Arabidopsis thaliana: one gene and its partner. The protein of the gene in region 1 interacts with the protein of each later gene in a pairwise test. Each region holds a gene or a part of one and is shown on either strand. Other genes may lie near its edges.

Region 1 (5,525 bases):
ACATGGTTAGCGACGTCAATTGCTAATTTAGACGTGTATTAAGTATTATTTTGTCTTTTGTAGTATTATTTTTAGTTGTCCCTTTGTTTTTTTTTCCATCGCCAATCATTTCATCGCTGTATGATTTTAATGGGAATAAAAAAAATAGAACAAGAAGATTTTTGTGGACAATATAGTTTCTGAAACTATAATAGGATAAGAAAAAATTAAGCTTATTTGTGGGGATATATATTAATGTCATATCATTGTCATAAACATGGTCGGCAAAACTTGGGACGGCAGTTTACCAGAATAATCCGGTCGACAGAATTCAACAGTTCCTCTCTCTAAAAGATATGAAGGAGATTAATTTTGGCTTTGTTAGCAAAGATGGCCGGTCCTCTTCTGGCAAATCCGGCTTTTACAAGCGGTTTTGGCCGGCTTTTATCCTTCCTCCGCCGTTCGATCGGTTGTTCTTACCGATTGCTTTAGTTTCTTTTTCAGTTTTTCTTTCAATAATTTCTAAAGATTTCAATTGGAGATTAATTTTAGGTCATAATAGCCTAAGATTAAGTTTTCGGATTTGTATCTTTAGAAAGTTTGATTTGCAGAATTACCTCAAGTATGAAAGGAAGTTTTGTTTCCAGCATATTGGGATTGCCTGTAGCCGTTTCTACATGTTTATGGAGCTTCGATCGATCAAATTTGAGGAATACTCAGATTTTTCTTTCCTCATTACCTGTTTTTGCCAAATCTCTTGATTGATGATTTTGGAATTGAATTCTCTGTTTGTGTATCCTCCCTTCTCTGTTTAGCAGTTTCCGGTGAGAAAAAAACAAAAATCGATGTTTGCCCTTTTTCGACGTTGATTGTGTTCACCGGATCGGAGTCTTTGACGGCACAGGATGACAGGAACGTTTCATCGCTTCTCTTGCAACACGTGTCTTGTTATACGATCGTGTTTTGTTAAAGAGATATCCTTCCTTTAAAGAAATGTAACTAAGTGGACCTTTGTTGGGCTGTATTCTGTGGATCATTAATAAACATAATCTTTCCAGTGAAAAAAAAAAAAAAAAACATGGTCGGATATGGGAAATACGATGAAAAAAGCTCGTCATGGACTCGCACTTAAAACAGGAAAATCTTTTTCGTCTAGACCCCACTTATTCACATGCACTACGACATAATTCCAAATTCTTTTAAAAAAAAAGAAGAAGTTAATAGAAAGAGTGACCAAAGTACAGTATATGATGATATTTATAACATACAGTTAAACTTCTATAAATTAATAGTCGATAAATTAATAACCTTTATAAATTAATAAATTTTTCCAATCCCGAATTTGTACCAGTGTAAAAAGTGACACAAATCGATAAATTAATAAGATAATAACTTTTTTGAAAGTTCTATGTAAATATATGGTCCCATCAATATCATAAATTAATAATTGTATAAATATATCAATTATATATATACATTATATGTAGGAATTTTTCTGAAATATAATTCTAATATTTTTTTGCTTAAATTTGTATTTATTTTTATTTAAAATTTAGTTCTCGTATTTTACTGTATCAAAAACTTTTGGTGTTGTTTTCTAAACATGATATTATTGTTTAGTTGTAATTGATTCTTGAAAGATATTTTCTATAATGAAAAAAATCCTATAATTTTTTTTGAAAAGTTACTAAATTAGGAAAATCTCTCTATAAATTAATAAATATTAATTTATCGATAAATTAAAACCTCTCTAAATTAATAAAATTTTGTAGTCCCAACATTATTAATTTATAGAGGTTTTACTGTATGTTGTGTTTAGTAATGCTGTATTAATTTTTTTAGTGACCTTTCAAACACTTTGAAGTTTTGATATTCATGTTTGAGTTTGAAAAGCTCATGTACAATATGAACCGAATACTTGACAGTGAAAAATAATTATCATAATTTCTTAAAAGTCAATCCTTCTCAAAGATATAGGAATCAAAATTCTACAGCATTCTTTTAAAAACAACATAACAAGACAAACAAAAGAAATCAATTTATGGGAATTTGAGAGACTTTGGAATTTATGTGGTTTTATTATACTAGCTCAACATAAACTTTGTCTTACTTACCTCTAATTTCTCAAACTTAGATTCAGTTTATATATTTTTGTGCATTTTACAGGTGTAAATAAAGCCAAATGAAACACTATATATATCCACTCATTTACATGTGCCCACTATAATTATTGCTCTATTCAATCCAAGAAAAAAACACAGAGGAAGAACAGAAAAAAGCTCACAAAGTCACAAGACCTCAGTAGGCTTCCTAGTTGTTCTATGAAATGTCTCCTCTCAACGATCTTAAGATCAATCTCAATGGCCAATACACATTCTTCCTCAATCAGGTAAAGAACCAAACCTAAAACTCAGTTCAAAAAACCACAGTCTTGATTATGCTCTGTTCTTAATTCTCTATGTGCTCTGTTTTAGAACGTGATTTCAAAGTACTCTGGAAGCTTGAGGAAGATGATTAAACAGAGCAAAAAGAAGAGAAACAAGAAAAAGAGAATCATCACTATCGAGATTAATGATTTTCCAGGAGGACCAGATGGGTTTGAGCTGGTTTCAAGGTTCTGTTACCACAACGGAGAAATCTTAATCGACGTCTCAAACGTCTCGACTTTGTACTGCTGCTCTGTTTTTCTAGGCATGTCGGAGAAGTTCTGTTTCTCTAATCTCTTCCTTCAGACAGAGAAGTTTCTAGAAGAAGTGTTCTATGGGTCTTGGAGCGACATCGTTTCGTGTCTCAAGAACTGCGAGCAAGTGTTCTTCCAAGCAGATTCGTATGGTCTTGTAGATAAACTCATTTTCGCAGCTTTGAACAAAATCTCTCAGAATTCAGACGATTTTTCTTCTTCTTCGCTTTCTTCCTTCGCCTCTTCTCTTTCTCCTGAGATGGCCAAGAACACGTCAGAATCAGACGGTAGGTATATTTCGCGGTCTGTTGCTTGCGGAAGAAGCAACGAGTGGTGGTTCGAAGATATGACAAATCTTTCCCCGAAGATCATATTGAAGCTAGTTATGATCATTGGAGCTTACAAAACCAACATAAAAAGCTTAGTCCTAACCAGATTTCTTCTCCATTATCTCAAGACAAAACTCCAAACCAAATCAAGAACTACCACTGAGCTTATGAGGAACAAGCTCGAGTACTCAGATTTAGCTGACACAGCGGTTAGAGGAGTGATTTCCGCAGGGACACGTACGTTTTCTTGCAGGAAACTCTTCTGGATTCTTCGAGTTTTATCCAGTTTTAGCCTAAGTAGAGAGTCAAGAATCGGTTTAGAAACCCTAATAGGAGAAATGCTGGAACAAGCAACACTTGATGATCTTCTGATATCTGCAAGAGGAAGCAGAGAAAGTGGTTTCTACAATGTTGATCTTGTGATAAGATTACTAAAAGTATTTGTGAAGAACAGAGAAGAAGAAGAAGAAGAATCAAGAGAGAGGAATATGAAAGAAATTGGGAAATTGATTGATAAGTATTTGAGAGAAATATCTCCAGATCAGAATTTGAAAGTCCCCAAGTTTCTTGGTGTTGCAGAGAGCTTGCCGGATTCAGCTAGAGATTGCTTTGATGGAGTTTACAGAGCAATTGACATCTATCTACAGGTCAGTTTTTTTTTTTTGTTAAGTTATAAGTTTTACTATTATTTTTTTGTTTTTCTTGAATTTCTTCACCAACTAAATGATTGAGCCAAAAATGTTTTTTATCCTGCAAAAGTGAGACACAAAATAGAGAATAATTTTAATTTTCTATATGTATTGGACATATAGAAGATGACAAGTGCCATACAGATTTCAATACCATTTGCTTATTAATACATTTTGGCTTTATATATTTATTATGAAGAGTTGAAATAGAGTCAACTATTCTTTTATTCATCATAAACATAAAAGATTTGAAGTTTGAGACTTTGGGATATAAAGCCAAACTAAGTTTTAATATAAAACCGAAAATGTATCAAAGAAAAGATTTGAAGTTTTTTGAGATTAACGTGTATTAATAATATACACACATGGATGTATATATATGATTAAGAAGATTTGGAGTCATCCTTTAGATTCTTCACTCTGTCTTGTTACTGCCGTGGGGTTCATGTCAGACCCACAAGGCCACAACAGTCTTGACTGTATGTTTCTTCTTGTTTTTCTCTGTAATACTATTAGTAAAAATATCTTAAAAAGGAATAATTCTGGTAAGGTACTATCAGTTACACTTGAAATACATGTCAAAGACTAACAATTATTCATGTACTTTTCTATTCACATGTTTTACTGGAATTAACAATAGTTCATCATTTTCAAAAATTGTAGAAATAATGATTATTATGTCAGTGTATGATTGATTCCTTTATAATTTCTGTTGTTTTGTTATTGTACAGTCTCATCCGAATCTAACACCCCAAGATCGAACAGAGATATGTCGATGTCTCAACTACAAGAAACTAACAATGGAGACGTGCAAACAGCTCGCCAGAAACCCTAAGATCCCTCCAGAAATCGCCATTGAAGCACTCAAGTCCAGATGTGGGAATCAAGAACACACAACTTCAGATGTTAAAGTTGCAAACAAGAGTTTTTCTTGTAGATATTCAGAAGAGAAGAAGAAGCCTGTAGTATTGCATCTCGAGATAACAGAGAAATTAGCCGAGAGGTTGAAGACTAAAGGAGGATATAATTTGAAGGTTATGGATAGTTTCAGAGAAGGCTTATGAGGAAAATGGTAAACGTCCCAAGTCATGATTCAGCAGTCACATCTTCCAATTCATCTGGCAATCTCATTTGCACCCCAACAGTGTCGAGAGTCTTGTACAAATCATCAGATTCAAGGGGTTTCTTATCATCGAAAGCTATGAATTCACAAAGCTTGCCTTTCACTTCGATCCAACTAAATCCTGGCGATTTCACCACCTGTTGATCTTTCATTTGCTTTCTTACCCGAGCGACTTCATCCCAGTTTTGGGATTCCGAGTACAAATTAGCCAAGAGAGTGTATCTCCCACTATGACTAGGTTGCAGCTTGATCACACGGGAGGCTGCGTATTTACCTAACTCATAGTCTTTGTGTAACAAACAAGAGCCGAACAGAGCTCCCCATACCACATTTGTTGGCTCCATTGGCATTCTTTCTATCAAAGCTTTCGCCTCTTCTAGCAAACCTTTTCTTCCAAATAAATCAACCATACACGCATAGTGATCCGCTTTTGGCTCCATATTGAAACGTCCCTTCATGCTCAGGAAAAGCCTTCGACCCTCTTCCACAAGACCTCCATGAGCGCAGGCACTTAAGACAGCCATGAAAGTAACTTCATTTGGTGAAACATGACTACTCAACATGGTATAAAAGAGATCAAATGCATCTCTAGCATATCCGTGTGCTGCAAATCCATTAATCATCGCGGTCCAAGTATACACATTTTTCTCATGAAGTCTCTCAAAAACAAGTATAGCTTCCTCTAAACACCCGCACTTGACATAAAGATCAATCAATGTAGTTCC
Region 2 (4,399 bases), on another chromosome or scaffold:
TATGATAATCTTACTTACCTTCACCAATAAATTCTTCATCCCATTGAATCACAGGTCTGATCGGAATTCCACTACCAATAAGCATCATCTCATCTGCTTTCTTTCCATCTTCGACTGTCACATCCATTACTTTCACAGTTTTAAGAATCCCCTTGCTTACAAGCTGTTCAGCGAGTGTAAGTGTTCTCTTTGCTGTACATCCGCTCAAAACGTTATCAAACCGCGGCATCACAAGCTCCTTACCACCATTAACAACAAACGCCACATTCATGTTCGGGCCTTCTGCAATAAACCCATCTTTACACACCCAAATACCTGCATAAGCTCCTTTGGCCTCAGCTTCCATTTGTGAGAGTACGTTAGGGAGGTAGTTAACACTTTTCACCGTGGCAAACTCTGGAGGCTTTATGGGGATGGACGAGGTCACTACCTTGACACCTATTGGGTTAATGGCGAAGTTCGTTTTTATAACAATGGCATAGAGAGTTGGTTTGAGACATTGAGATGGAGATAGGAGGAAATCCCCTGGCCCTGCAGAGAGCCAGTATCTTAGAGATCCATCTCTACATCCAGAAACGCTCACGGTTTGAATGAGAATTCTTTTAATAGTTTCTCGATCGAATGGAAGTGGGATCTTAGCCATTGATGCAGATCGCAAGATACGGTCAAGGTGCTGATCCAATTCATAAAGGTATCTGCTTATTCGTAGGACAACAAGCGAAGCTCAGATGATTGAGTAATAAGACAAATTAGAAAAGGGGGCTACTATTTAAAGTGACTAACCCATTGATGATCAGGGCAGTGTCAAAGACTCCATGACCACGGTGAACCATGTGATCATCCAATGGAAGAACCATCGCTGCTGGATCGGTTGTAATTCCATCAACAACACTTGAGTACATGGCCAAGAACTGTTGTCCTCCTCTTGCTAGTTTTAGCCTCTCACCAACCTTTTAAACCAAACATACTTCACTGATACTCAATCAATCAACGCCTCTAAACATAAACGGATAACAAACAAATGTCGCAATCCTTCATTACGGGCTGCATCTATAATTTCATTGACAAAACACAGAAATGTCTGGTGGTTGTGTCAATAAACATCTCTAGCTAACAAATTGTGAACAGTTTCAAGAGTTAAAGATATGATTGATAAGTACAGACATAAAAGAGAAACCATAATTACCTCATAGCTAGATAAAACAGGAACATTCCACGACTGAGAGCTTGAATCTGTGGAGAAACGAATGCAGATTTTTGTCATCAATTCCAGAACACTTATGGAATTTAACGATCAACAAATTGATCTCTTTTTTAGGGTAATAAGTGTACATTACCCTAAAAAGATTATAATAAATGCATCACCAATCACAATCCAGAAGAAAAATCAGAAAAGAGAGAACACAAGGTAGAAATGTCGAACCAGAACACATGAGAATCGTTCTTCTTCGTGTCAACCGACGCGGGAATCGAAAGCCATGTCTTAAAGGACATGGAACTTGAGAGAGAGACCTGAGATTCCAAGTGTTAACTGTAAACTCCAGCGACAAACCTGCCATGGGGTTTGGGACTCAAAAGAATAGAGAGAGAGAGATCATTCGGAAATAGCAACTTGCTTTGCATTATTATTATCTCAGTCGTGAACTGGAAGAAGACGAAAAAATATTTGGGCCTAACTTCACCACAAAAATAAAATAAAGTTATTCGGCCCATAAGCCCAATATGACTTTTCGCATTGTATTTTAATATTCAATCAATCAAAAATAAAAGCCTAAAACAAAACAAACCCTCTCTGTCTTTTAGTGGGTTTTGTACGACGCCTAATCGATGTTAGTATTATATCTGTAGCCAAACAAGCCACCAAAGTGGTATTTTTCTTCTTCCTTCCTTACCTTGTAGGGCTCTGAGCTCGAGTTATAAAAAAGCCAACTTTGATTTCTTTGCCAGTATTTCATCCTTAATCCATTCTTGTGGTCACTTTTTCGTCCTTAACCCATCTAGGTAAGTCGATTTCATTGTTTGTTATTTGAGTCAGTAATTTTTGAAAATCTTTGCTTTTTTTTCTTTTCTTTTGAATATCAAAAGAAGAAAAGATTTGGGGGATAACTAGATCATCTCTTTAGTTAAATTGACTCTTTGAGGTGTGTCAATTGTCACTGATAGTCTGATTAATCTTTTATTGGCATCTTAGAACAGATTTTGATTCTAAAGTCTTGTGAATCGGCAGCGGAAGAAGAGTGAATTGTTCATCCTTATCTTGCCATGGTAAACATTCTACTTCTTTTGTTCACTTTGATGGGTTTGATTGTTCTTAGTATATTCAATCCTTTGCTTATTTGACGGGAAGTAGAGATGTTTTTGGAATGAGAACATCTTTTCCCTTCTTAATTCCAGCTTCCTGATCACATTTATTACTGTTCTTCTTGGAGTAATAAAAGTTGAGATACTTTTGTCTTGCAATAATTTTGCTTTAATCAATCGAACAAGTTAGATTTTGGCCATATTGGTTGTAGTATTGATTAGTCTTGTGTAATATTGTTTGCAGGCTATGTATATTCGTGTGAAGCGCATGAAAACTACTTACTTTATCCAATGTGATCCAACAGAGACTGTTTTGGATGTTAAGCAAAAACTGTTTGCTCTCATTGAGCAACCAGTTAACAATCAGCGTCTGGTCTTAATGTCTACCGAAGAAGTATTAGAGGATTCGAAATCCTTAGCAGATCAGAAGGTATCACACGTTTGACTATCTAATATATTTATCTTTTGAGTCATTGCTCAAGTTTAAAAGAAGAACTTGGTCACATAGCCACTGCCTCCGTTTGCGTGTATTTGAAAGTTATAAGCTTGTCACCATCTTCTTTTTTGGTTGTTCAGGTTGAGAATGATGCAGTTGTGGCTTTGACTTTGAAGAAAGGTTATACCTTAGATCCTCTTATTCTGAAATTTTCAATTCCTTGTTGAAATGTCGTAATGGATCATGCATCTTGGTTAATTACTTATCACACTTCATCTTTCTATATGTTATTTGGTATATGAACCCTTCAAACTCCATTGACTTCAATTGAGCCTGTTATTGTGAATCTTAGTTATTTTGTTATCACTGGATAATCTTTTGGTATGTTTAAGAGTCTTGCCTAACTTTTGTGACCGTGATATAGCTGAATGTGATTCCTAATCTTATTATTCTTTTAGCCTTGTTTCGATTACACAACTGTTGAGGATGCTGTATTGCATTCTGAATCTATACAGCTATGAACGGCATAATGATTGCATTGCATCTCTTTTTTCCATGTGCAGATGATAACGAGTTTGAGGATGTCAACATTGCACAGCCCACCGACTTCTCACTTTCATGAAGAGTTGCTTACTGTATCAAGGAAACTTCAGGAGAAGGTATTGATTCAAAACACAAGGAGGAGTCTATAAACGCCAGAAGTTGTTTCTTTTGCGTCTCTGCTTGTGTTAACGCCTCTTTAGTTTGTTACAGACAATTGTTGTAAGTAAAGATATTGAGATGTGGAAGTTTGATTGCAACTTGCCAGATTAGTAGTTTTTACAGTCTCTTAATATGTTTACAATGAGCTAGAGGTGCAGCTAACACGAGCCGAGGAAGCTCCATTATTACCATTTGACATTGTTCATTGACGGAAAACCCAATGAGGGTGACAAAATAAAGAGACAAAAAAACAAAATGAAAGGACATAACTGTAATCTTAACGGAAAAAAACGTTAAGGCTATAAGTGTGTCTGGTTCGGGAAAAAGAGAGGAAAAAAACCCTAATAAAGAGAAGGGATTGTGTCTCCTTCTCGACTTCTTCTTCTTCTTCTCATTTCTCAATCTCAACTTTTCTCTTCTCTTCTCTTCTTCGCTAACGGCAGGAGAGAGAGAGACCCAGAAATCCGATCCCTCCTCTCCTTGGATTATCGGAGTCAGCGATTCATCGTCGCTGATAAAGCTTCTACCTTTCTCTTCGATTTTTGTTGTGAGATTCGATTCGATCTTAAGGCGGATTAGATCGAGGTATGCAGCAAGGCGATCAAACGGTTCTGAGCTTGAGACCTGGTGGCGGTCGAGGAAACAGACTATTTGGTTCCTCTTCTTCTTCTTCGTCTCTCTCTTTTGGCTCTCTTTCATCTTCGGATCTACCTCTCCTTCGTCCTCATGGTGGTGCTCCTGCTTCCTCTTTTCCCTTCAAGGTACCCTCATTTCTGGGTCCCCTCTCTAAATTTGGATCTAACTCCCTCTTCTTCCTCTGATTTAGAATTTGTTTTATCTCTCTTGTCTTAGCTTGAGCTAAAAATTTATCCTTTTTTACGGGTTTGTCGCAATCAGCAGCCTTTTTGTTTGGAATTATAATCTTTGGTATATTGCTGATTTGATTCTCTCAAATGTCTG

Evidence for each region.
Region 2: the proteins of AT1G50280 (region 1) and AT5G57860 interact in a two-hybrid assay, tested with the Arabidopsis thaliana proteins (one large-scale study listed by BioGRID).

Annotation. Positions count from the first base shown.
Region 1 is NC_003070.9:18,623,073-18,628,597, reverse strand, and holds AT1G50280 (Phototropic-responsive NPH3 family protein), read left to right. Parts: upstream 1-2,156; 5' UTR 2,157-2,305; coding exon 2,306-2,368; exon of another isoform or gene 2,369-2,453; coding exon 2,454-3,635; intron 3,636-4,347; exon of another isoform or gene 4,348-4,408; coding exon 4,409-4,741; 3' UTR 4,742-4,763; downstream 4,764-5,525. Other genes in the region: AT1G50290 (uncharacterized protein), read left to right, coding at 336-740; AT1G50270 (Pentatricopeptide repeat (PPR) superfamily protein), read right to left, coding at 4,764-5,525. UniProt on the Arabidopsis thaliana protein: May act as a substrate-specific adapter of an E3 ubiquitin-protein ligase complex (CUL3-RBX1-BTB) which mediates the ubiquitination and subsequent proteasomal degradation of target proteins.
Region 2 is NC_003076.8:23,435,729-23,440,127, forward strand, and holds AT5G57860 (Ubiquitin-like superfamily protein), read left to right. Parts: upstream 1-1,825; 5' UTR 1,826-2,001; intron 2,002-2,191; exon of another isoform or gene 2,192-2,227; 5' UTR 2,228-2,262; coding exon 2,263-2,265; intron 2,266-2,545; coding exon 2,546-2,731; coding exon of another isoform or gene 2,732-2,746; exon of another isoform or gene 2,747-2,877; coding exon 2,878-2,917; intron 2,918-3,300; coding exon 3,301-3,359; 3' UTR 3,360-3,675; downstream 3,676-4,399. Other genes in the region: ADCL (D-aminoacid aminotransferase-like PLP-dependent enzymes superfamily protein), read right to left, coding at 19-695, 784-950, 1,187-1,233, 1,424-1,559; eIFiso4G1 (MIF4G domain-containing protein / MA3 domain-containing protein), read left to right, coding at 4,027-4,200.